2 linked regions of the Astyanax mexicanus genome follow. The protein of the gene in region 1 interacts with the protein of each later gene in a pairwise test. Links are inferred from orthologs where the notes say so. Each region holds a gene or a part of one and is shown on either strand. Other genes may lie near its edges.

Region 1 (12,367 bases):
AGCTCTTCTACACTCACAATGCTTTTAGGTGAAAGACGTTTCCCTCAAATAATAATTATTATAGTAATACTAATAGTATTAGTATAAGTACAAACTTTAAGATTAGAATACTTACAATATACACATATTTAATATAAATTAACTTTTAATACGCTGAATCAAAGCAAAATTAATGTGCACAAATAAACTAATTCTAACGTTGGAGATGAACGTTGATTTAACAAATGTTTGCTCTCTGGGATGGGTAATTTGAGAATTGAATAATACCAAACATATTACATGTTCTGCTTAGTTTATTTCTTACCCAAGATACCCAGTTTTACAATCAACTTGAAAAATAGGTAATTTCAGAAAAAAAATATGTATATATTTTTTTATTAATTATTTATCATTTATGTTTGTCCCAGTGTACAGAACAGTTCTGTTTGTCCTACAATAAAAAAAACATAAAAAGATTTGTCCTTCACCCACTGATGTAAGTTCCCTTGTGAAATGTGAATACTTGCTGATTAAATCTCCCATTTAATCTTTAGTATGGTAAAATGGTGAAAATCCATAAAAGTCTGTCTTTAGGTGTACAGTGTGGAATCTAGGCAGCAAAGTATCATATCTACGTGCATAACAGTGTCCCTATAAAAATGCAACACAGCAAGAAATAAATACAATATCCCATCCAATTAATTGGATCAGTGGACTGGTCACTGAAAAGAGGCTTCTTCAAAATATGGAAGTATGAAAAACACTCTTTAAAGAGAATGAAAGGTTTCTCTCTTCAAGACTGCCATTTGGTTCCAACTCATCAACTCATTCAACTCAACTAGTCAAAAACAAACACCTACTTCTTTCCATCCACAAACAATAAACTCTTAATTAAAAGTGCTTTTTTGCTTGGTCTGTGAACTAAACTAAACAATAAACATACTGCATCTTACCAGCTGGAGAGGTTGTGTCTGTGTGCTTTTTAAGCTGATCCTGTCGGTTTGGTTTGGGAGACTCCAGGTGTTGTTCTGATTCCAGGGGGACCCTCTGTAATTCCGGGGCATTTTCTTTACTCTCGGTCGGGGTGACTGCACTTAGAACCTTGGCTAAGGCTTTACACACCCCAGAGACTTTGGGCACAGCTGGAACATCAACAGTCCTCTCAGACAAGCTTATCTGGACCTGCAAAGAAAAGGCATTTATTGTTTATTTTTTAGACTCAATCCGTATATTACTTGCAAATAGGCGATTAGGTTATAATACTGTCTTTAAACCCTCTTTTTCTCATACATCCAAGAAAAAGACAACTACATTAGGTTAATGCTATTTAATGATATAGATAGATAGTTATATCAGGAGCTAATTTAAAGATACATTTATAACAACAGTCTGCAGTCTACACAATCATCATCATCAGAAATCATACATTGTCAATTTGTGATCTTATTATTATAGTTTGGACTGAGTGTTCAGATGTTTGTAAGTGATGCAAAACAAAAAATGCAGTAACTTCACTGGTAGTGTTTTGTTAAAATTCAAAGGAATTTAAGATGTCTCATATCATTAAGTAATTTTACCTGAAAATTACATAGTTAAACAGAGGCAGTGGATTTTTAAAATGCAATGTAACAAGTGAATAAAGTGGGAAAAAGTGAAACAGATCAAAAAAGTGAAAAAAAAAATGTAGTATCACTTAAACTGTCAAAATAATTCTTGTTTAAAATAAAGGCTTTAATTGCACATTGTTGAACTCCAACTTTTTTTATCTTATATTTCAAGTACATGTACAAATATTTAATTTAAGGTAATTTTCTATTGTTTGATTCATCATAAAATTATGTTTTTACTGGTTTAACACTAGAAATAAAAAAGACTTTACCCTTTTTTACATGTGCAAGAAGATTATTAAAGGTGTTTAAAATGGTTTGGATTTATATTTCAAAATTCATCAAAACATGTCCTGTTTGCACAATACTTTTTATTTACTGGGAAAAAAAGGAAACAAAATGGTATACAGATTGTAAAGTGTAGCATTAAAGACCTAAACTACAACTTGGAAGTGAAATTAGTTACACTCTCGAGGTGTAAGTATGACATTTTTAAATGACAAAAGCCAATCAAACATTTGCTCCGATGACAGAGAATAAGTTATTTTAAAAAAAATAATTACTGACCTCAGGTGCAGGAACATGGCTCTCCACTCTCTGAGACTGGTGATGCTGTTGCAAGAAGTAAAAAACATGGATGGGGTATTATGGTATGTGGCTATTTTTGAAAAATTAAATACTCATTATTAATAACAAACATTTATATATGCTTAATTCTAAAATATATTGTTTAAAATAATTTTCTATGCTGCTTAGTTTAGAATATAAATTCAGTCTCAGATTTCATGCAAGTGCACATCAGGCCTCCAGACAAACTTTTTTCACAACTTTCCCAGATTTGCCTGAAGCGTTCTATCATGCTCTCCCACAAACTAATAATCATAATCATTCCCAAAATATATTTTTTGACATTACACTTTATTGTTGTATTCATTGTGTATTGTCGTTGTATTAATCTGCATATTATTCTACTGCCATAACATCTTTGGTTAGACTTCATCTTCTAGGCATCATCTCCTGGTGTTACCAGCAACCTGACTGGCTCTATGTTGAAATGTGGGAATGTATCTGTAAACAGATTCTGTGCTAAGTATTAGGAAAATTTCATATTTCAACCAGCCAGCAATCATCTAATAAACAGCTCAAATTTGCCTTTCCAAAAGAGCTGTCCATGGGACAGTGGATTGTGTTACTTTGGAGACCTGGTACATGCCTAGTGAAGTAAACTGGGTTAAAACAACATAAACCTGAAGTACACTGAAGTATACACTGAAGTATCCTGTCAAATCAGATGCTATGCACCTTTGAAATGCAATCCATGTAACAGAGTAAAAAAACGAACTAATTTACTATCAGCTCTTTACCTGACCACCTGGATTTTTTTGTCATGTAAAAGACATTACTGAACCCATATCAGCATTCATACACTGAGATAGCCTATCAACTTTTCCTAAAATCCTTAGTTAGCTTACCTTGTTAATTCCATTGCCCAGTACTCCAGTCTGTGAGGGGGCAGGAGGTATAAACCTCGGCCTCTTCACAGCATTGCCCTGAAGCTGACTGGGGGCTGCAGAGCGGCGCATAATGCTGAGATAAAACACATCAAAACTGTTAAGTTTGTGCCAAGTTTTAATGAATCAGTGATATTAAGAAGTCAGAATTAAGAGGTCTATTATTAATAATAGTGCTGTCAGGCGAGTAAAAAAAAAAATAATTAATTACTTGCCCTGTGAATATTAATCAAAATGAATCACATTTAAATTGCATTCATCATAAAAATATTTTAAACTGTACAGTTGAGTTGAATTTTAGCTGAGGAGCAAACAAATGAATAACTGGCATAGACGTAAAAAGCTCCCTGTGATGAACAAATGTAAATACTGTACATCTCTTACTGCACTAATCCAATTTGTTATAGATTGGTCAAGTTGGTTGTGGTGGTCATGCTGATATCACTGCTGTGCAGGGCTGCAACACAATTAGTTAATGGACATAATGGACAATACTGATTATTCAAAAAATGACGACTAATCGTTAATTTGACACTGCACTACACAAAGTGCTGGGGACAGAAACACAAATCACATTTAGCTTGGTCAACAAAAGTGGCAGACACAACAGATTACATAATGTCTTACTAAATATCAGAACAGCTGTTTAAGCAGATTTTTTTTGACAAATTGGAAAAAGAATATTTGTCAGATTAATCGACTACCAAAATAATCACTAGTTGAAACGCTAGTGCTGTGTCTAATCTACTTGTACCAGCACAACACATCACACAGTAACACATTACACAATAACACAACACACTATAACACATCACATCACACTATAATAGATCACACTATAATAGATCACACTATAACACACAATATCACATCACACAATATCACATAACAAAACATATCACACGATAACATAACACACTATAACACATCACATCACACCACACTATAATAGATCACACAATAACACATCACACAATGACATCACACTATAACACACAACAACAAATATCACATAACACATATCAACACATCACACGATAACATACAATATCACACATCATCACACTATAATAGATCACACATCCCACAATTTCATCACATCACACTATAACACTGCAGTGCTGAGACAGATCCAACACCTAAATTACAGGTTAGCTGCTCTGTGCATATCGCCCAGTCCTATCTGATGGACAACAGCTCTAAAATAGTGTGATGTGCAACAAAACATAATAAAAAAAGATGTCCACTGCAATGGATGCTAAAAGAGTCTAAAAGAGTTAAAGCCTTAATATTTGATATTAGCTAGCTATATGTACTCCTGACAGTAGAGTAACTTAAGTCACAAACCTATAATAAAGCCCAGTCATGCAAAAAACTATAAATAAATTATAATAAAAATACCGTGATAGACGGTGAAACTGTCAGAATCTTGAAGAATACCGTGATTTACATTTTTGGTCATACCGTCCAGCACTAGAATTAGCGAAGTTAAGAACTAACTAGCGAGAGTGTCAAGTGTCCTGTATGATGAGTGAGTGTATAAACTGGGAGGTGGTAACTTACAGGGGCAGCTAGGTTGCTAGCTAAACTGAAATTAGCTGCATTTTGTTGTTGTTGTTGTCAGATTGAGGAGCTAATGCTAGCTAAGATAACTACAGCTGTGAAATATATCTGTAAGAAGCAGTAAAACAGACAGCCGCTGTGAACAGCTGAAGTTTAATCGTTTTTAGATTAAAATATCGCTCACTTGCCTTTTATCGTGAAATCCTCCCGTATAAATACTACAAATGCTCAACTACAACTTCTCCGCTTACTTTAGCTCCTACCGCTGCTGGGAAACCTACACAGAGTTTCGCGCCGGGAAGACATAGCTCATCGCTGATTGGTCGAGCTTATGTTGCCAGGTCCAGCAAAACTCCTAAAAACTAACCCAACATCTATCTAATGTTGTCACAGACGTTGAAAGGAAAGAAAATGTAAATAGAAAAAAACTACTAGAACTCATTTAAAAAAGTGTACTACACTTAAAACCTCGCCTAGTAGCAAAGAACATTGAATAAACGTCAGCCTGTCACAATAAAAATAATTTGTGGACGATATACAGCTCTGGAAAAAATTAAGAGATCACTTCAGTTTCTCTGATTTCGCTATTTATAGGTATATGTTTAAGTAAAATGAACATTGTTGCTTTATTCTATAAACTACGGACAACATTTCTTCCAAATTCCAAAATATTGTAATTTAGATCATTTATTTGCAGAAAATGAGAAATGGCTGAAAAAAAAAATGCAGAGCTTTCAAACCTCAAATAATGCAAAGAAAACAAGTTTATATTCATAAAGTTTTAGAGTTCAGAAATCAATATTTGTTGGAATAACCCTGTTTTTTAATTATGGTTTTCATGCATCTTGGCATGTTCTCCTCCACCAGTCTTACACACTGCTTTTGGATAACTTTATGCCATTCCTGGTGAAAATTGTTTCAATATTTCGCTTGATTCAATTGCAGATGTTTTTTAATTTGGTAAAAGCAAAGAAACTAAGCATTTTTTTAGTAGTCTCTTTTTTTTTTTTACCGAAGTGTGTCTTCCCAGACATTTTTGTGATAAACAATATTAGACCATTAAATGTCACGGACATAGCAATAATAGAATAGCATAACACAACAATCATACTATTTTAAAGACACATTCTTTCTTTACTGCAGTCCACGCGAAGTGAATGTGTCACAGTTACTGAAGAATATTGGTCATTGCATGACTGGCTAAAATACTGTTCACTGTTATATACAGTGGTGAGAAAAAGTATTTGAAGCGTCATGATTTCTATTCATGTTTTTCACTCTATAATGTTTCAAATCATCAAACTAATTTAAATATTAGTCAAAGACAGAACAAGTGAACACAAAATACAGTTTTAAATGAAGTTTTTATTATTAAAGGAGTAAAACAATCCAATCCTACCTGACCCTTTGTGAAAAAGTGTTTGCCCCCTACATCTAATAACTGGTTATTCCACACTTAACAGCATTAACTGCAATCAAGCATTTGTGGTACCTTGCAGTGAGTCTTTCACAGTGCTGTGGAGGAATTTTGGTCCACTTTTCTTTACAGAATTGTTTTAATTTCACCACATTACAGGATTTTCTAACATGAACTGCCTTTTTTAAGTCATGTCACAGCATCTTAATAGGATTCAAGTCAAAACTTTGTTTTGCTTCAGCCATTCATAGGTGGACTTGCTGGTGTGTTTTGGATCACTGTCCTGCTGCAGAACCCAAGTTTGTTTAAGCTTGAGGTCACAAACAGATGAAAACCACAGTGATGGAAAAATCAACGATGATACAATGTCCTTTTGATATTTGGGTCTGTTAATCTTATTTTGTTTTTAAATTTAAACTCTAATTTATACATTTTTTTAAATATTTGGTTTATAATGTCATTATTGTTAGTATTGATTTTAGTTTATTATTAATAATAAGAATTAAAATGTTATATAATTATTTTACAAGGATTTTTTTTTTATAATAATTGCCGACACCTTGGCTATGGTCAGTGTTAATGAATCACCACATACAATATGTATCTATAGTTCCAGCAAAAGTGCTGTAATGATTTGTGAGTTTTTCTTGCTGTAGTTTATGATAATTACAGTTTTTTGTGTGATTGTTACTTCCTCTTATTAATAAATCTCTCTCTCTCTCTCTCTCTCTCTCTCTCTCTCTGTCTCTCTCTCTCTCTCTCTCTCTTTGGGTTTAGGATATTTTAAGGAACTTGTTTTTTTTGGTCCTAAATACTTTAATTTCTAAAAAGGAAAAAGTAGGGTTTTAAATATTATGGGATTAAAATGGCATGGGACAGCAAAGCTGGCAATTTGGTCCACAAGAAAAAACAAGATTCACGGCAGACTGATCCTGTCCTAATGGTGAAGGAACTGATTGTGAAACTTTAAATTAAAACTGATTATGACATTTTAAAAATATCCCCAGAAAACTGTGAATACCGGGAACTTGGCAACCCTTGGTCGAGCGCTGAACCGGTCCTGAAAGGGGCGGAGCGAACACAGTGTTTGTGAAGAGCAGAAACAGCATTAAAGTGTTCTGCATGCAGCATCTGAGAGGATACCAGTGTACTGGGGTCTAAATATGACAAGAAAAGACCTGGAATGTGAGGAATATTAAACCCGTGTGCAGGTAGGTGATGCATCTTTTGCATAGTCCTGCAATAAGTAGTGGTGATAGAAGTAAATAAATAAATAAATAGATAGATAAAAATAAATAAATACATAAATAAATAAGAATATATATATATGAGTATAAGTATGTGTATTGTGTGCATTTAAGCAGATACATAAAAATATATTGGTGTAATAGTGTAGTAATGCAACAGTGCAATACCCTACTGAACAATGCATTTATGTTTTGTGGTATAATGAGTGTCTGTTATGTGCACTGTGAATAAAGCAGTTGCATGCACATTAAAAATGCATGAGATCTGTAAATATGTGCAAAATCAAAATGTGAAGTTGATGCATGTAAAACAGTGGAGTCTACTACACTATATGTCTGATAATTTAACATCTGGCGTGTCTGTCTGAGAGGACACAGTTGACCGGTGCATGTTTAGAAATGCATGCATAAATCAGCTGTTGATGTCTGCTGCTGTGGCAGTGTTGCCATTGAGATTATAATCCAATCACAGTCCGGGAGGCTGTAATCCTTTGTAATCCCACCACAGCCACGAGGAGCAGAGATCATTCAGGAGATTGCAGTGAGAGTAACGGCACAGACAGACACACACACAACTGTCCTTAATAAACATGTCCTTCTCTGTTTCCCTTAAAAAACCTGTCCAGAGTGTCCACACACTGTCTTTAACTTTTCTTTAACTTTAATGAATGCCAGTCAGTGAACAGCTGCAACAGCTGCAGGTGGAGTATAACACTATAGATGACCTTTGGGCTGCAGGTTGACCTCTCGTGAGGATGACCTGGTGGTAATTAATGGTCACCTGAGTGGACACGTGCAGGATTAAATGTACAGCATGTATACCTTAAGATCCCACTCACGAGGAAGGGCCAAAGCAGAAGATCCTTCAAGGGAAATAATATAATAGAAATTCAGTATATGTAAACTATGTGTGTTTGAGGTCACAGTCATATATATATATATATATATATATATATATATATATATATATATATATATATATATATATATATATATATATATACGTATATATATACGTATATATATATATATATATATATATATATATATATATATATATATATATATATATATATATATACATAGCCCTTTGAAGACTCTATAATACTCTACTGTAAACTTATTAAATTGTTTAATACTGTTTTATCAAATGCTCTTACAGACATCAACCATCCATTTTAATTTGGCTTTTTAAAAGGCACTCTTTTAACTGCACTCGCCATGTCGGCTCAAAAGAATTCTTAAGATCATTTGTAAGGTACACGGCCAGTATAATGTTTCGCAGTTTAATTTTCTAAAGTATCAATCTAAATTAAAAAATAGAAAATTGAGTATAAAACGTAATTATTATTTTTTTCATTTAGTAGAGTGAAGAAGAACTTGGTTTTCATTCAATTTTTCAATTATATAGTTTTTCATTTCAGCCTTTGGCAAACAGAAAGAAAAAATGAAAAGGTGAATATTCCCTATAATAATATTTTCAGATTTATCTATTTATCTTGTTACAAAATACAGAAATGGAAAAAAAGCAGAAAATAAAGAAAATATATATTTTTTTAATTTTCCTGAAAATCCATTAATGAGGTGCAGAGATAATTGGAACTATAATAAACTATAAACTATAAACTAAATTATAAACTATAATTGGAAAAAATGAATGAAAACTTTCCCACCCACTATTTTTTGTAAACTGCACTACAACTCAAAATATCCATAGAAGCGAAATGCAATTAAAAATACCCAGCTCAATTTTCATGATGAATGGACCAATAGGAATGCTTAAAACTTATTTGAAATAAAATATTTGACATAGACTTCAATTAAATTGAGGGCAGTTATACATTATGTTGTTTCAGAACTGATACATTTACCAAAATGACTTGTATTTGAAATGTAGTGTATTTTCATCTAGCAAAAAAGAAAAAAGTATGTAAATGTGTGTTATGTCAGGCTCTCAAACCAATGGGAAGTTAAACGTGAATCTCTGTGTTTTTAAAAAAGTTGATCAGGTTTAATCAAGTAATCATTATAGCGATTTTTGTCATCTTGTTTTATACACTGGATTTCTCTTGGGGACGCTGGGAATTGTTTTTCAGGGAGTTGACTCGTCCCCTGTGTGTGTGTGTGTGTGTGTGTGTGTGTGTTGTGCAGGTGAAGGTAGTGGGTGTGGGGTGTTACCAGGACTACTGCAGCTACATGTGTTTATAGGAGACAGGGATTCCCAGAACAGCTCAGTGTGAGCCTATAAACATAATATTAAAATACATATTAAATGAAAACACCTTTAATATATATAAAAAAAATAGATTGCATAAACTTACCTAATTTTATTTAAAATGATCCAACTAATTGCTGCCGTGATACAGAGATCAATACACAATTCATTTTATTTAAAATGATCCAGCTAACTGCTGCTGCCATACAGAAATTAATACACAATGAGTTACATGCAAATATACATTAAATACACTACACACTTACAGGGGTGTAGAAAGTACAGATACATTACAATTAAATATTAATATGGATGCTGCATTAGAATCTAATTAAACATGGATGTATGCAGCTAGAATTAGTCTAGTTCTTTTTAATACGCCTATAATACTATGCATACTGTATATATATATATATATATATATATATATATATATATATATATATAAAAAGTAAATATTGTCAGTGTCATGCAAAAAAAAATTGTCTTGATTGCTTTTTTTTGGGGAAATTTATATCTGGAAGATGTATCAGAAGTCCATTATGAATTAAAATGAGTGAATCTTTTAATAGATAATTAAATTTACAGTTTTTAAAAATAAGGTTTTATTTCGTTTTTTGCATTAGATTTCTCCCATCATTTACTTTTTAAGAGTAAGATGCAAACAGTCTCTAATGTAACAGCGATATTATTGTACAGACAGAATAATGGTGGTTTAATTGTAAAGCTGACTCTCGGACGTGTGGAGTCTCAGTAGGTTGTACATTAGGTGAGGAATGGCCTCCTGTGAGAATAAGTTGATGTATTAAAAGGTAAGCTGACCTCACTGTCTCTAAGCTCCTCCTCCACTGAATTCTGACCCGGATAACCCTGTCCCCTGCCTCTCCATTCAACAGCTGCTGGTCCTGTAGTTCCCAGGGAAACCACCAAGCGTACCCTCCTCAACCACCATTGAAGAGCAGCAGTAGAGACAGACAGGTGTGCACCAGTTCTGACAGGTAAGAAGAGCTTTCTCATCATTTGAAAAAAAGGGTATTTTTATTCATAGGAATTGTTCTGTCAGTGTTTAGTACTACTTTGCATTATAGAACATGTAGTAAAGTGTTTTAAATAGCTATAAGCATTCTTGAGTAAGGGTTCAACTATATCGATTTTAGCATGTAAAAATTGATGGCTGTCTATTATAATACTGTTTAGTTGAGTACAATAATTTAACCTTTCCAATGAATTGCCCTTTCGTAACATACACAATAATATTGGCAACATTTTTGAATATTGTGAACAATATTATACCCTGAAATATTGTGTCATGTCACCCACCCCTAATTATCACACCAGCGTACTACTTTTGTGCTGTTTTTAGCAAAAGTAAATTCACACTGTTCTCATTTCCCATTATATATCTACTAGAGACAGATTATATCTGTCCAGTATCATTTATTTTACTTTAATCCTGAATATATGGAGAGTATTATTAGTATTATGATATTCTGGATCATTGACTTTTGTTATAAATCTGATAATAATTATTGTATTTTTTATATCTCAGTTAGGGATGTGCCATATCATTGATTTTTTTTTTTTTTTTGCAGTAGTGTATTCTTAAAATATATTTTTTTAATTCAGTCTTTTGTTATATTGCTAGTAGTATCGTTATTGCGACAATACCATGAAATATTATGAAATTATTAATATACTGTATAAAATCTTTTCTTCGTTTTGAGAAGAAACATTTTATTTCATTCACAAAGGCACTTCAAGTAACATAACATATAAAATAAAATAAAGAAAAAAATTATTTCTACAAAAATGGAAAAATGTTCAATATATTTTTATTTATTTAAACTAATAAAATATAAAACATAAATTATCAATATAATTTTTTTATGATTTTTGCAGGGAAATGAAGTGAACATAGCATCTGCAGATTTTTTTTTTGTTTTATTATTTTGTTTTAAAAGTAGCATAAAATAACTAACATATGAGAGTGATTCTATTAGTTTTTGAAGTTGTGTGGCATCCAGTGGCTCAGCGCACACTGTATTGTTGGTTGTTAGAATGGGTTCCACTAGGTATCAGAAATGACTGGAAACTTTAACTGTCAGTCAAGAAAGTGAAGCTGAGAAGAAGCTGGAATTTAGGACACAACAGCACACTGATCCAAAGCATACCTCAAACAATCAGGTCAAAGGAATGTTACAAATAATTAACTTAATATGGTATACAGACTTATGTGCATGTCAAAGTTTCTGTGCTTTTTTTGTGAATTTTTAAGGTGAACTATGAAGCAGCCATGCTTTAACATAAGCAGACATTAGTCATTATTTTTGCATACCACTGTAAATGAATAAATAATGCACCACATTTGTCACATTTTATCTCTGTTTTTCTCTCATGAATAAGTCTGTGTGTGGAGGAGCAGGATGGGGTATGACGTGGAGCGCTTCGTGGGCTATGTAAATGAGGGTCTGCTGTGCTGTGTGTGTCGGGACGTGCTGGAGGACCCTCTGCAGGCTCCGTGTGAGCATGCTTTCTGCAGCACCTGCATTCACGCCTGGCTCGTCCACCACCACAACTGCCCAGAGGACCGGCTGCCGCTGGACATCACAAACCTACGGCCGCTGTACAGGTAATTGTATCCACGTGGCACAAATTACAAACATTTAATTTTCTTAATTTGAGTGATCAGTCCAAACCTGTCCATGAAGTTGCTTATTAGTTAATTTCCCAATATTTTAAACCTGTAAAAAAATGAAGAGACCACTTCAGTTTCTGAATCAGTTTCTCTGATTTTGCTATTCATAGGTATATTTGAGTAAAATGAACAA
Region 2 (13,288 bases), on another chromosome or scaffold:
TCCATTGAACCAACAATTCTTGTGTTTTGCCTGGTCACCTTCGTTTTATTTGAGGTATAGAGGTTCGTACAAATAATGTCAACAGTGTCAACAGGTTTTTTTTTTCCTTCTAAGTTTTTACTATTTTCTCCCCACTTTATATGGTCAATTACCCAACCCACTCATTAGGACTCTCCCTATCACTAGTGATGCCACAACACCAGGAGGGTGAAGAATAACACATGCCTACTCCGATACATGTGAAGTCATCACTTATAGGGTGATGTCGATCAGCACAAGACATCTGTGAACTGATGTATCAGAACCGAGACACTACACTTTCCTCTGAGTGCACCGTGCTGCGACTTGGCATCAGCAGCAGTTCAAAAAGAGGCAGCTGCTGACTTGTGGCATCACTAGTGATAGGGGATATGTAGCTGCAGTTGAATGGGTGTGACAATTAGACAGATGAATTGGGAGAAAATGGGGGAAATTGAAATAATAAAATAAATTCTTAATAAAATCTTTTTTAGTGCATTTTTAGTGTTTTAGATGGTTAAATTAGTTTGTTGTACTCAAGTAGTTCTGTGTGTTGATGGTTAATAACCCTGACCAGCTCATTAACACATGTCAATATTTTGTAGGAGTCCATCCGTCATGGGAATCCTCGTGGCTGATCGGAAATTCCTGGGAGAAATTGGAGTACTGGATGAAGGAATGCTAGTTTATGGTGGAGAGAACGTTGAACTGGGAATACGAGTAGGTTGTTACTTGTCTCTTTTCACCGCAGTACAACAATGTTACACGCTGCGACACTATATTTAGTCTGGTCTATGCTCTGTTTTAGGTTTGGACCTGTGGAGGAAGCATTGAAATTATCCCATGCTCCAAGATCGCCCACATAGAGAGAGCGCATAAGCCGTATGCACGAGATCTGAGCATACCACTGAAAAGAAATGCGTTAAGGGTGGCTGAAGTCTGGATGGATGAATATAAAAGAAATGTTCTTATTAGCTGGAATCTCCCCTTGAAGGTGTGTAATCCTATTATTAATCTTTAAGGTTTAATATGACTTTCAGCTCTAACAACTTAAAATCTTATAGGAAGGCTTTCCACAAGGTTTAGGAGTGTGTTTATGAGGTTTTTTTTTAGCTGGTTTGGCTCAGATGGTGTCCAGCATGCATGGTGATGCATTGGTTAAGGAGTAACAAGACAATTGTTCCTTGCTTACAGTAAAGCATGGTGGCGGTAGCATCATATTCTGGAGCTGCATGAGTGCTGCCGTCACCGGGGACCTAAATTTCAACACGTATTGTGACTAAACCCAGTTAAGAAGAAGGTGAAAGAGTGCAAGGTGTCTAACAAACAACAGCTTTATAGATCATCAGGAGTTGGAAGAGGTTTTCAGCTGTAACCTATGCCACTCCATGAATTCTATGCCCAAAAGGATTAAGGCAGATAATGGTGGTCACACTAAATATCAACACTTTGGGCACAATTGAACATGGACAAATACACATTAATGTCTGTGTGATGTGACAAGTTAATTTCTAAAAAGTTGTCCTATGAAAATATATATAATAAAATATCTGCAGAAGTGTGAGGGGTATACTCACTACTGTATGAGCTCTTAGAGTGTGTGGTGAGGGACTGGTTAAACAAAATGATTGATTGATTATTTAATTTATATAATAAAACCTTATCTGTAACATAGACACTGCTGTGTTACCTCAGAATAATACAACTGTCCCTTTTTTTAGGATCATGGAATTGATATTGGGGACGTAACGGAGAGAAAGAAGCTGAGAGAGAGACTCAATTGCAAGCCTTTCAAATGGTACATGGACAATGTGTATCCTCAGCTTGACACCTGGGAGGATCTCGTTGGTTACGGTGCTGTAAGGAAATTTTATTTTCTACTCTAATTTACGTATTAAAGGTATTTTAGGAATGATGCCTCTGGTTGCATAATAAAATGTACATCATGATTTAGCTTCTGTAGGAACTAGCATAATAAATCTAATTCATTAAGAATTGCACTTCCAGCCAGTAGACTTAAGTGATTTTCTGTTTTTGACCTTTTACAGTTGCGGAATGACTTATCAGAGAAAAACTGCATTGATCAGGGACCTGTTCCTGGGAGTGTTCCTATTCTGTATCAATGCCATTTCTATGGCCCACAGGTATGCACTTTGATTAAAAAATTTAGACAGTTAATGAGGACTGAAGAGTCTTTTAATTTGCATAATTTGTATGAAAAGAAATATATCATGGAAATTGGCATGGCAAAATTACATTTGTACATCTGACATATTTATTTGTATTATTTGGTTTGATTAATTAACTTTTAAAAGAGAGTGAATATACTGTAAGGACATTTTCGAGTAACATCTAAGGAGTTGCTCTGGGTGGATGTTTGGGTTACTGAGAAAGGACAACTTGTGTGTGTTTTTCTGTTTTAGCATTTGGCCCATTTGCAGTCACATTGGATATTCAGTTATTTTTTTAAGATATTAGAATAAACTTGAGTTTAACACTTTCAGACAAAAAAAATTGTCTAACAAGATTTTAATTTTATTATTATTTCTCTTTTATCTGGCTGGAATGGGCTTCCAGACTTTGTCAAACTGTCTGACAGCTTACTTTACAGCATTTGATCAATACTTAGTTTTTTATTGCCACTTCAAAGTATTCTCACATGGAAAATTGTCCCTGTTGCACAAAAACCTTGATACTTCAAATTTTCAGATTTTTATGTTTGGGCATAGTGTGAATCTGGCAGTTTTCCAATTTTCCAATACAACAGACCAAGAAAAATGCTTAAAAAATCTTCATTTACTGACTTTCCACTGAAAGTTAAAAGGATTTTCCTTCTCTTATTGAAGACATCAAATATTTGTGTCATAAGAAGAAGAAATACCTGTACCACAAGGGTACACTCTCCCACTTGTCCCCCAATTTTTCACATAGGATTAAACTCATGTTTTTTTATTAACTACTTGATTAATCGGAATTTCATATATGCATTTTTTATACAGAGCTGTTACTACAGGCGTAGAGGGGAGATTTACATTGGAGGCATCAAATCCCACAAGTACAATAATAATCGTTGTCTGGTGGATCCTGGGGAAGGACACACACCGGGACTGCATGACTGCAAAATAGCCAAGGAGAAAGGGTTACACATGCACTGGGACTTTAAACAGGTATGTACTCTGCTGAACGGGTTAACTGATGACAGGAAGCTTTGTAAATTAGTGGAATTTGGTTAAGTGGCCAAACATTAACCTGCTGAGTGAAACAGGAATAAAGATGGAGCACTTTTATATTAAAGGGCCATCCTAAAGCCAAGGAAAGTTGAAGAAAGCAAACAGGATTTAGATTTAAAGTCCAGCCCTGTTACATATTTGCCACCCATAGCAGGACATCCCTGATAATTATCCCTGATTGCCTTATAATCTATTGTGCCTTGTGTAAGAAAATAGACCAAAAAATAGACGTTTATTGACAGGGCGCCTTATAGTGCGAAAAAGTCTATACATTTTATTCATTTTTCTCCAAATAATTTCATAATGTACTTATAAGACTTTGACACAATGATCTGAGGAGATCGCTGGTTTGAATCCTGGATCTTGCTGCTTGCCATTAGAAAAGAATCTAAAAGTGTGCAATCAGTCTAGCTCTCTCAGGGCTTAGTTTGAGTTCATTTCTTTTCTCACCCCTAGTGTGATGTGTGTGTAGCATTTTGGCTACCCAGAGATGTGTTGGGGCATTGCCAGTGAGAGCGAGAGCTTATAGGAAAAAGGGTTGTGTAATTAGCCTTCCAAACTGCCTCGAAAATTATCCATAAATCTTAAAATGATTCATTTATGTATTTATATGTGTACTTGATGTTTTAAGTACTAAGATTTAATATTAATGAATTTTAATCAATGTCTATTTAATTATCTCTCTTTGCTTTACCTACAGGGTCAGGCAATCAAAAACAGAGACACAAAAAGGTGTCTTGAGATCGCCCAAGGAGCTGATTCATATTACCATCTTATAATTCAGGACTGCACTGGACAACACTGGACAATACAACATTTGATACAAAATGCTTAGCAATCTTAAAAGAGCCCAAAAAAAAAATCTAATTTTCAAATGTCTCCTATTCGTCTAACTTATCAGTGATATTTTTGATGGTTTAATAGCACAATATAATCGCAAAATATATTCCCATTATTGCTGTTATTTTTGCACAGAATGGGATTTACTGTTGTGTACATGTGAACAGTTTTACAGAACTGTGTTGAGTTACTGAACATTGGTATTTTTGAAGGGTTTACTTATGTTTTATTGAAATTGAATTCCCTAGAGGAAAAAATGTATTTAGTGTTGGGCGTGGAAAGAATAAAGTGTTATTTGAATGTTTACCTCTTCTCATTCAAAGTGTTTTCTTTCTTTTTATGAATGAAAATGTTTTCCATTTTAAATTTAATATTGAAATTGAATAAGAAGGTGTGTCCAAACTTTTGAACTTTTTGGTGCTGTATATTCACCCTGAATTTCTTTCTAAACTTTTTGAAAATGATATTTGAGCTAGCTGGGCATTTTCACTTGATGGCAGGTAACGATAGTCTGCTGTAAGTTGTAATAGTGCACTAAATGTATAGTTTACTAAACATTTCTTTTCCAAATTAATAATTTATTAGAAATCTAATTACATATGTTATGTTAATCAAGTATCAAATTGTACAAATGAAATGAACATATAAGAAAAAAAGGAAAAATAAAGGTTTAAAAAAAACATCTTAAAATGTTTAGAGAGTTATTTTTGTTGAGATTTGATTCTGTAACAGTTCCCTCTATCCCTGCTCCTGAAGAGCTGCCTTCACACATCACACTTCAGATCCAACCCCTTCTGACCCAAATAAAGACTGTCTTTAAAATCCCTTGATTGAATAATTGGGTTTGATTTGGGCTGGAGTGAAAACCTGCAGAAAATCTGTTCTCAAGAAGATCTGCAATAAAGTGCAATAAAGCAGCTTTAGAAAGATGGGCTATGGATCCCCCTAGTGATCAAGCCAGAAATTACACTGGCAAAAAAATCATTTAGAGAGGAACCAAGACTCCACAGAAGAAACCATCCTCGTGTGGTCGAAACTGGATAGATTTATGGATGGATTTATTTATTAATTAATAATTAATAATTTATTATAAATAATTTAATTATTAGGGCGTGGTTTATGGTAATGTATTCACAGCTGTTTTTAAAAGTCCTCACTGGACTCTATTGCACACTGCGTAATAGAGGTAATTACTACCTCACTGGTCTTTTTTGCACACTGCATAATTTGCACACTGTCTTGATATTTATTATTCTTTGTCTGTGTGTTGTATTGTCTGTCTGCACTTTTGTACTGTTGCACTTTTTGTTCTGTCTACACTGTGTTTATGTGCACCATGGTCCCTGGTGTACTCTGTATATAGCTGAAATGACAATAAAAAACACTTTGACTTTGACTTTGAATGAAACAAAAACAGCTATGCTGCTTGTGTTACATTTTTATAATCAGAATTTAACTTTTGGTCTAATGTGCTTTTAGGGCAGAACCACTTTTGGCAAGAATCAGGACCGTGGTGCTGTCTCCAGTGTTTGATAGAGTGGAATGTGCCACCCTGGATGTGATTAAATATGAAACGTTTGCCCATGCTTTTGACTGGCAGCTGTGGTGTATGTACGAGTCCTTCAGACCAGAGTGGTATGAACAGAACGATGGGTCAGCGCCTGGGAGGTAAGAGACTCTATCTAGACAATCAGTGGCATCAGTGTTAATTTTGACAGCTGATTTTGATTTAGTTGAATTCTTTTGACAACCCCTGAGAGCTGCTTGCTCTGTTAGCTGTGAAACAAAATGACCTTTTGGCCATGCCTTAATGGCTACGATTTAATAAACTCGTTATCATATAATATGATAAAGCAGTTATACCATCTAATGGTTTTATTAAGATTCATAATCACACAGAGCTAGTTGAGTAGTAGTGGCGCCCCCGGTGGAGAATCTCTAGTTTGCAGGATCTTCTACAGCACAGAGCAGTAAAAATAAGTGTCAGCAGAAAAAGGAAAATAGAGAGAAAGAGTTATTCAGTCTAGTGTAAATTAGACCTTCACTCCACTTTAACGAAACATTCATGCTGGTCTAAACGGTGTATATATATGTTTAAACGTGATGAAATTAGACCATTATATATTTCTAAATTCCATAATTTATCTCTATTTTTTTTACTGTATTTTTACAATAACTACTTTACATTATACAAATACATGTTTTTTTTTTCCTTTTTAGAGATGAATTGAAGATGATTTTTTTTATTTTACCCAATTGAAAACCTCTGGAATATTATCAAGAGGATATAAGGATTGATGATCACAAGCCATCAAATCAATCTAAACTGCTTGAATTTTTGCACCAGGAGTAGCGTAAAGTTATCCGAAAGCAATGTGTAAGACTGGTGGAGGAGAACATGATGCCAAGATGCATGAAAACTGATTAAAAACCAGGGTTATTCCAACAAATATTGATTGATTTTTGAACTGTTAAAACTTCTCTGCATTATTTGAGGTCTGAAAGCTCTGCATCTTTTTTTGTTATTTCAGCCATTTCTCATTATCTGAAAATAAATGCTCTACATGACAATATTTTTATTTGGAATTTGGGAGAAATATTGTCTGTAGTTTATAGAATAAAACAACAATATTCATTTTACTCAAACATAAACCTATAAATAGCAAAATTAGAGAAAATGATTCAGAAACGGAAGTGGTCTCTTATTTTGTTACAGAGCTGTATATATAAATAAGGAAAGGCAGGGGTCGCGTGCGGTTTTTATCTGGGTTGCTTAGTAACGCAGTGTTTACAGTGCTGCTGCTGCTGCTGCTGTGCGGACGGACGGAGCTGAATAGCGGAGCTGAGCTGAACCGCCGCCCGCAGACATGAACCCCGTCCAGCTCCCATCAGACCGCCTCTCAGCCGCTCACCTGGACCAGAGACAAACCCGGGAACTCCTGCGGAAAGAGCGGGTTTTTAACGCCAAACTGCGAACAATCGGAGTAAGTCTGAGCTTTAGTTCCCCGGTTATGTGATGATAATTATGAAATATATATGAGATCATGTCTATTTATTGCATGTTAAGTTGATAATGTAATTATCGTGTTTATATAGTTATCATGTAGTTAAAGGAGAAGTCTGGTGTAAAAATGGACTTGGGGTGCAGTGAAACATGATAATGAGTACACACTTTTGTCGAATAGCCCACCTCTGTTCAGCCCAGCATTCTGAAAAACAGCGCTTTTAGCCGAAGCTAAAACCAGTAAACTCAAACTCAAAGTAGCTCCACACTTCATAGGTAAAGTTCTGAGTATAAGTATTTAGAAGTATTCCGTAAAGTATCATAGAGAATTGTCTTACAATATATCGAGTTTTAAGCATTTTCAGGTTAACATTGAGAAGTGTCAGTTAACAGGAACAATGGAGATTAAGATATAGTTTACAAGACCAAAAGAAATTTCAGGAACAGGCGCTCTTGGGATTGCTAGAAAGGCAAATCAGAAGCTCTTCTTGACTGAAAAAGACCTTCTGTAAGATTTAGCAGACTCTGGAGTTAAAGGTAATGTGTTCTACTGTTCCGCAACACCTTCACAAATATGGCCTTCATGGAAGAGTCATCATAAGAAAACCAGTGATAAACCTAATAATATTTTATAAGCTTTAACATTTATGTAAAATTTTGTTGTCTTGCACTAGGTTGATAAGGAAGCTCTTGAACTTCAAGTGAAGGAAAGAAGGGATAAAGAACAAGCTGAGGCAAGAGCGCTAAAGGAATATGGTAAGATTTTGGTAAAGCTTTTAAAGATTTGCTTAATTAACTTTATTTTATGTAATAATTATTACTTGTTTATTTAAAAATACTGCAGATTCATTTTATTCTGATTTGTCTTTTTTCAGCTTCACAGGAATGTGTCGTTATTATTTTATTTTATATAAATATATTATTGTAGACCAAAATAAACCAAAAATAAAGAAACCACACAAAATACTCTTGTGTCATATCTTATACTATATCTGATCATGAAAGTATTGGCACAGCTGCTCATTCATAGATGTTTTTTTCTGGAATTAAGGGTGGTAAAAAATATAAAAAATAAAAGAGAGTTTCACTGCTTAATAGCTCAATTTTTCAGGGCTTTATACCCCTTTAGCCCACACCTGACAGGTTAAAGTTCATTTTTATCTGTGTCAGCAAGTCATCTATAAAAATGTACGTGAATGCATACATTAGAAGAGATGTCCACACATGTTTTGTGTGGTAATGTATTTAATAATAGATGTTAGAACAGACAAACAATTGATTCATTAGCAAAAAAATGCAAACCTTTGTCTGATCTTTCTGTTTTATCTTTCTTTGTCCCAAAAGTGGATAAGCTCATACGCAGTGACCAGACAGCATGCGTACTGGAGCACAGGCAGAAGAAAGATGAACGTCTGCTGGAAGAGGCCATTGTGCAGTTCCGGAGTCGTTTCCAGCATCCCAGCAGCAGACGGGAGTTCGACCTGAACGACTCTGAGTTCCTGAAGAAGCAGGACGGTGTGCGCATTTTGCCTGGGTTGGCTGGGGAGGATCTAGCCAGCAGAGACAGAGCACAGCGGCAGAGAGAGCAGCTGAGGGACTGGTCCATCCAGCAGCAGCAAGAGCTGGAGCAGACAGAAGAGCAGCAGAAACAAGAAGGTAGAGCTACACCATGTTGAACTGTGCTAGGGGCACTTTAGCACAAAATACAGTTATCTGTATTTGTGGCCCAGTGGTCTAAAGCGCTGACTCTATGATCGTGAGATCACAGGTTCGAATCCTGTTCATGCAGCTTGCCATCAGCTGCCAGAGCCCTGAGAGAGCACAATTGACCTTGCACTGTTTGGGTGTGTAGATGGCTCTATTTCCCCTCATCACTCTTGGGGTGATATCAGTCAGCACAAGGCATCTGTGAGCTGATGTGTCATAATAGAGTCGCTGCGCTTTTTTTCTAAGCACTCTGTGATGCTACTCGGCAGTTCAGTTAAAAAAGAGGCGGTGGCTGACTAAAAATGTGTCAGAGGGATGAGTAGAACTGAGTAGAAGCTAAATGGGTAGCATAATTGGCCTAGCTAAATTGGGAGAAAATGGAAAACAATGTAAATTAATTTATATAAAAAACAAAATAACGCTGATCATCTGCCGTCTTCAACAGATCTACAGTATGACCAAAGCCGAGTAGCTCTGGACAGCAGAGCTGTCGAGCTGCAAAAGATGGAGGAAGAGCACAAGAGAGCCAATACCATCGCCATCAAGAACTTCAATCTAGCTCTGGTGAGTCCAGTGTTGTAACTTTAAGTAAGAAGCCAAGTTTACAGAAAGTTCTAAATCATTGCTACTGTAATTGTCAGTATACGCATTTAAGTATAAGCCCTAAAATCATTCAGTCGGTCATTATCTACAGGCTGCCGAAAGATCTGAACAGAGAGAGAGGCAACGCCGAGAGGAAGAGGAGAACAACCAGGTGGAGATCCTGAACCAGCTGCAGGGGGAACTGCTGAACGAGAGCATCGAGCAGAGCAGCCGAGTGCCTGGACGTCCCAGACTGCGCAGGGACTGCTATAAGGGCATGACCCCCCAGCAGCTACTGCACTACAGCAACTACCAGAAGCAGCAAGCCGAGGACAGGAGGGTGAGTCACGAGTACCTTTAGGATCAAATTAGAATGTATTTATGGTTAAATCACGCACACACACACACACACACACACAAATAGTGGAAGCGCAAAATTACTGACATCTTTACAGTACAAAACAAGAAGTGAGGCGAAGAAAGTGCCTATAATAATAATAAAAATAATAATAACAATAATAATTATAACGCAGAATAACAGTATAGTTGCTAAATATAATAGTAAATAGTCATACAAATTATATAATATATAAGCACATATTAAAATTAAATAAATATATCAAAAGTAGATATTAATAATAATACAATAACACACTGTATATACATTTATACACAACCCGGTCAGAATATTATAACAACCTTCTTGTCTCTACAATTGTTTTTCATACTATATTTGGGTGTTGGGTTATTATTTTTAGCACTGCAGAGACTGCACTGACATGGTGGTATAAGATGTGTTAAGCCCTATTCGGACAGGATTAGTTTCTCAGGGGGTCCTGGGGAAATTTTCTCTTTTATGGGGGGGTCTTCTGTGATTTTATTCCCTTCTGGAATGACCTTTGATGTCCTCTGAAAACTACAGGCTAAATTACCTACTGTTTTTCGCTGAACTCCGTGGTCTTCCAGTAATTTTAGTCCTGTCCGGACGCACATCTCTGAGTTTCGTCACCAAGTGTTTAATAAAATAGCTATTTGTCCACTGCCCACTGCCACGCACCATAATTACACTTTGGGCGCGCGTTTCCAAAGAGATCCATGTAAACACAACAGCAAGTGGAAATGGAGGAGCTACTGAACGTGATGTCATGTGACCAAGAAAGCCTAAAAACTCACTGGTCCTCCCGTTTTTTCAATTGCAGTTCGGATGCAAGAGTTTTATCACTGAGTAGAAGTCCCCCGGAGAAACTAATCCCGTCCGGATAGGGCTTTAGTGTGTGTTGTGCTGGTCTGAGTGGATCAGACACTGCAGTGCTGCTGGCATCACTCAGAGAAACTCTTGAAGTGTCTTTAATTTTGTCTGACAGTCGTTTGTGTGTGTGTTTTAGCGTGTTCGTCTGGAGCAGCAGGAGGAGGATCTGCAGCAGGATCGTGAGCGTTTGGCTTCAGCTCGAGCTGCTCTGCTGCTGGAGAGACAGCAGGCGCGCATCAGCAAGGAGCTTCGCAGATCTCTGGATAACACCAACGCTCTGCTAGCCCAGGCCCAGCATGCACAGTGAGTAACTCACACACACACACTTTACTCTAAACAATGCTGTAGACAACTCAAGGCTGACCCAGCTGTAGACGGTCTTTCATCTCATAAATTTATTACAACATTATAAATATTGTCAGTTTTTGTTCAGATATCTAAGTCCAAATTTAAATCTTTCTTTCCTATTGCACAGTTCTGAACTGGATGCTTACAGTGTCTGGTTAAAGGAGAACTCTGGTGTAAAATTTACCTTGGTAGTAATAATAAAACATGATAAAAAGTAACTATCCTTTGTTAAATAGCCCACCACAGCTCTCCTACAGCTTTCTGAGATACAACTGAGAATTTTGTGTCTTTTGCCCAGCCGTATTGGGTCATATTTTGCCCAAAGAGATCGCTTTTTACACCGTTATCCAAGCTCAAAGTAGCTCCACACCTCCTTGGTAGAATCCGGAGCTTTGAGCTTTGAGCTGGATAATGGTGTAAAAAGCGATTTATCTGCAGGGGCAACATATGCCCCATATCATCCATTCTAAAGCATGTTTGCACGAACTGTAAAAAAAATATTGGATCCCGGAAAGCTGCAGGAGAGCGGAGGTGGGCTATTCAACAAAGGTAGGTACTCTTTATCATGCTTTACTACACCAAACATCAATTTCACACCGGAGTTCTCCTTTAAAGCAACATTATATTAGCAGCAGTCATTCCCATTCTGGTTTTAAAATGCTGCTACTGCACATTGTAACTTTGGTGAAGCTGCACAATCCTATTACTAAAGTATTACTCTACTGCCTCAGCCCACGTGATTCTCTCACATCAGATGCTGCTTCTGTATCTTTCCGCTTGTCAACAAATGCATGTATTCAGCTGATCATGAGGGGGCACTCAAAACAGGATTTATATTTATGATTGTGGTGTTAAGAGTGAATTACACTTCCAAGCTGAAAGGGTAATCAAGTATAATGCTGCTTTAAAAATATTACTTTTTTTCTTCATTACAGGAGGAAACATCTTGAGAAAGAAGTTTTCATCAATGTCCCTAATGAGCGCTATTTCTCCCAGTTCAATACGTCCAGTCGGTAAATATTCAACAGAATCACATGCAGACAAAAATAAAGATTCACTCACAAACAGTGTCTCTTTGAATTTCTTTATTGAAAGAGTTCAGCTTGTTATTTTGATTCTTACACTCTTAAACAATCTGCAGTCAAAAACCTGCATGGGGGAAATTATTTTGTTTTCTAAAAATATGATTTTTTCCCCCTAGTTTTCTCCACTTTTTGAAAAATGCCTAATTATAATTTCAATCATTATTTATGGCTCTGCCTTGCAGTTGCATTAACATAAGGCACCATCACTGGATAACTAAACACACATCTGCCATTTCTGTTAAGCCGACAGACACAAAACACTGTAAACCAAAATACTGAAATCTGATCTTCCCCTGATGATCTAATTACGACAATCCCCTCAAAATAAAAGATTATTATTATTAAAGAATAACGATAATTATTTAAATGCTTTTGGCATTTTATAGCTTTTTTTACAGCTTCCCTGAGATGATACATGTAAAAACATATTTACATTCAACTGCCCTTATGTATTATGATCGGTACTTATCCAAAATCCAAATACACTATTAATGAAACCACAAATCACACACACAAAAATACCATGAAATACATGAAAATGAATGTGTTGGAAAATAGTAGCTTCTAAATGATCCATTGTAATCCTGTTAATGTAAACCTGTGAACACACTTTAAACATAACTGTATTTAAAACGGATTGAAAAACAATGCTTAGCAAATGAAATGCTTATTATTATTCAGTTTAAATATCAACAATTTTATCTTCTAAAATTGAAATACACATATTATGAGATTATTTATTTGGCAGGCAGTGTATATCATTATTATAGTGTCCTTAAATATACTGGGAATGTTTTTGTTTTTTGTACAGTGGTTTTAACCCTATTTCCACTACTGAAATGACCCAAAAATCACCTCCCATCATGTTGTAGCAGGCTGTTAATCATAGCTAGATTTAGAGTATAAAACTGAATTCCTCCACTAGAGGGTGACACATGTACAGAAAACTATTCCAGATCTCAGCATTGCAACTTTATAACTCATTAATAACTCATAAAAATTATAGGGCATTAATAATAACTCTCAGACTAAGAGAACATAAACATCCCTCAGTGTACTCATCATCACCATCCACACTAAAACAGCTGTCTGGATCACCAGTAAAGTGCATATTACACTTTTTTTTTCCGTGGCTGTACAATTGCACTTTATAATATTAAAATGTAAGAGTCTTCTTTCTTAAGCAGGTCTAGAGCAAAGTCTGTAAGACAAACTTGTCCCATTT

Evidence for each region.
Region 2: the proteins of rad54b (region 1) and ribc2 interact in a two-hybrid assay, tested with the Homo sapiens proteins (2 studies listed by BioGRID and IntAct). The two-hybrid records come from large-scale screens. The link is inferred for Astyanax mexicanus from reciprocal best matches to the Homo sapiens genes RAD54B and RIBC2.

Annotation. Positions count from the first base shown.
Region 1 is NC_064408.1:109,699,717-109,712,083, reverse strand, and holds the start of rad54b (DNA repair and recombination protein RAD54B), read right to left. Parts: upstream 4,959-12,367; 5' UTR 4,849-4,958; intron 4,806-4,848; exon of another isoform or gene 3,482-4,805; intron 3,174-3,481; 5' UTR 3,170-3,173; coding exon 3,059-3,169; intron 2,199-3,058; coding exon 2,154-2,198; intron 1,162-2,153; coding exon 933-1,161; intron 76-932; exon of another isoform or gene 1-75. Other genes in the region: rnf41l (RING finger protein 151), read left to right, coding at 11,963-12,168. UniProt on the Homo sapiens protein: Involved in DNA repair and mitotic recombination. May play an active role in recombination processes in concert with other members of the RAD52 epistasis group.
Region 2 is NC_064417.1:4,632,039-4,645,326, forward strand, and holds ribc2 (RIB43A-like with coiled-coils protein 2), read left to right. Parts: upstream 1-6,869; 5' UTR 6,870-6,955; coding exon 6,956-7,072; intron 7,073-7,766; coding exon 7,767-7,848; intron 7,849-8,436; coding exon 8,437-8,748; intron 8,749-9,244; coding exon 9,245-9,363; intron 9,364-9,493; coding exon 9,494-9,721; intron 9,722-10,766; coding exon 10,767-10,933; intron 10,934-11,913; coding exon 11,914-11,995; 3' UTR 11,996-12,043; downstream 12,044-13,288. Other genes in the region: probable polypeptide N-acetylgalactosaminyltransferase 8, read left to right, coding at 624-738, 827-1,012, 1,740-1,877, 2,067-2,162, 3,018-3,185, 3,949-4,083; ada2a (adenosine deaminase 2-A), read right to left, coding at 13,253-13,288. UniProt on the Homo sapiens protein: Microtubule inner protein (MIP) part of the dynein-decorated doublet microtubules (DMTs) in cilia axoneme, which is required for motile cilia beating.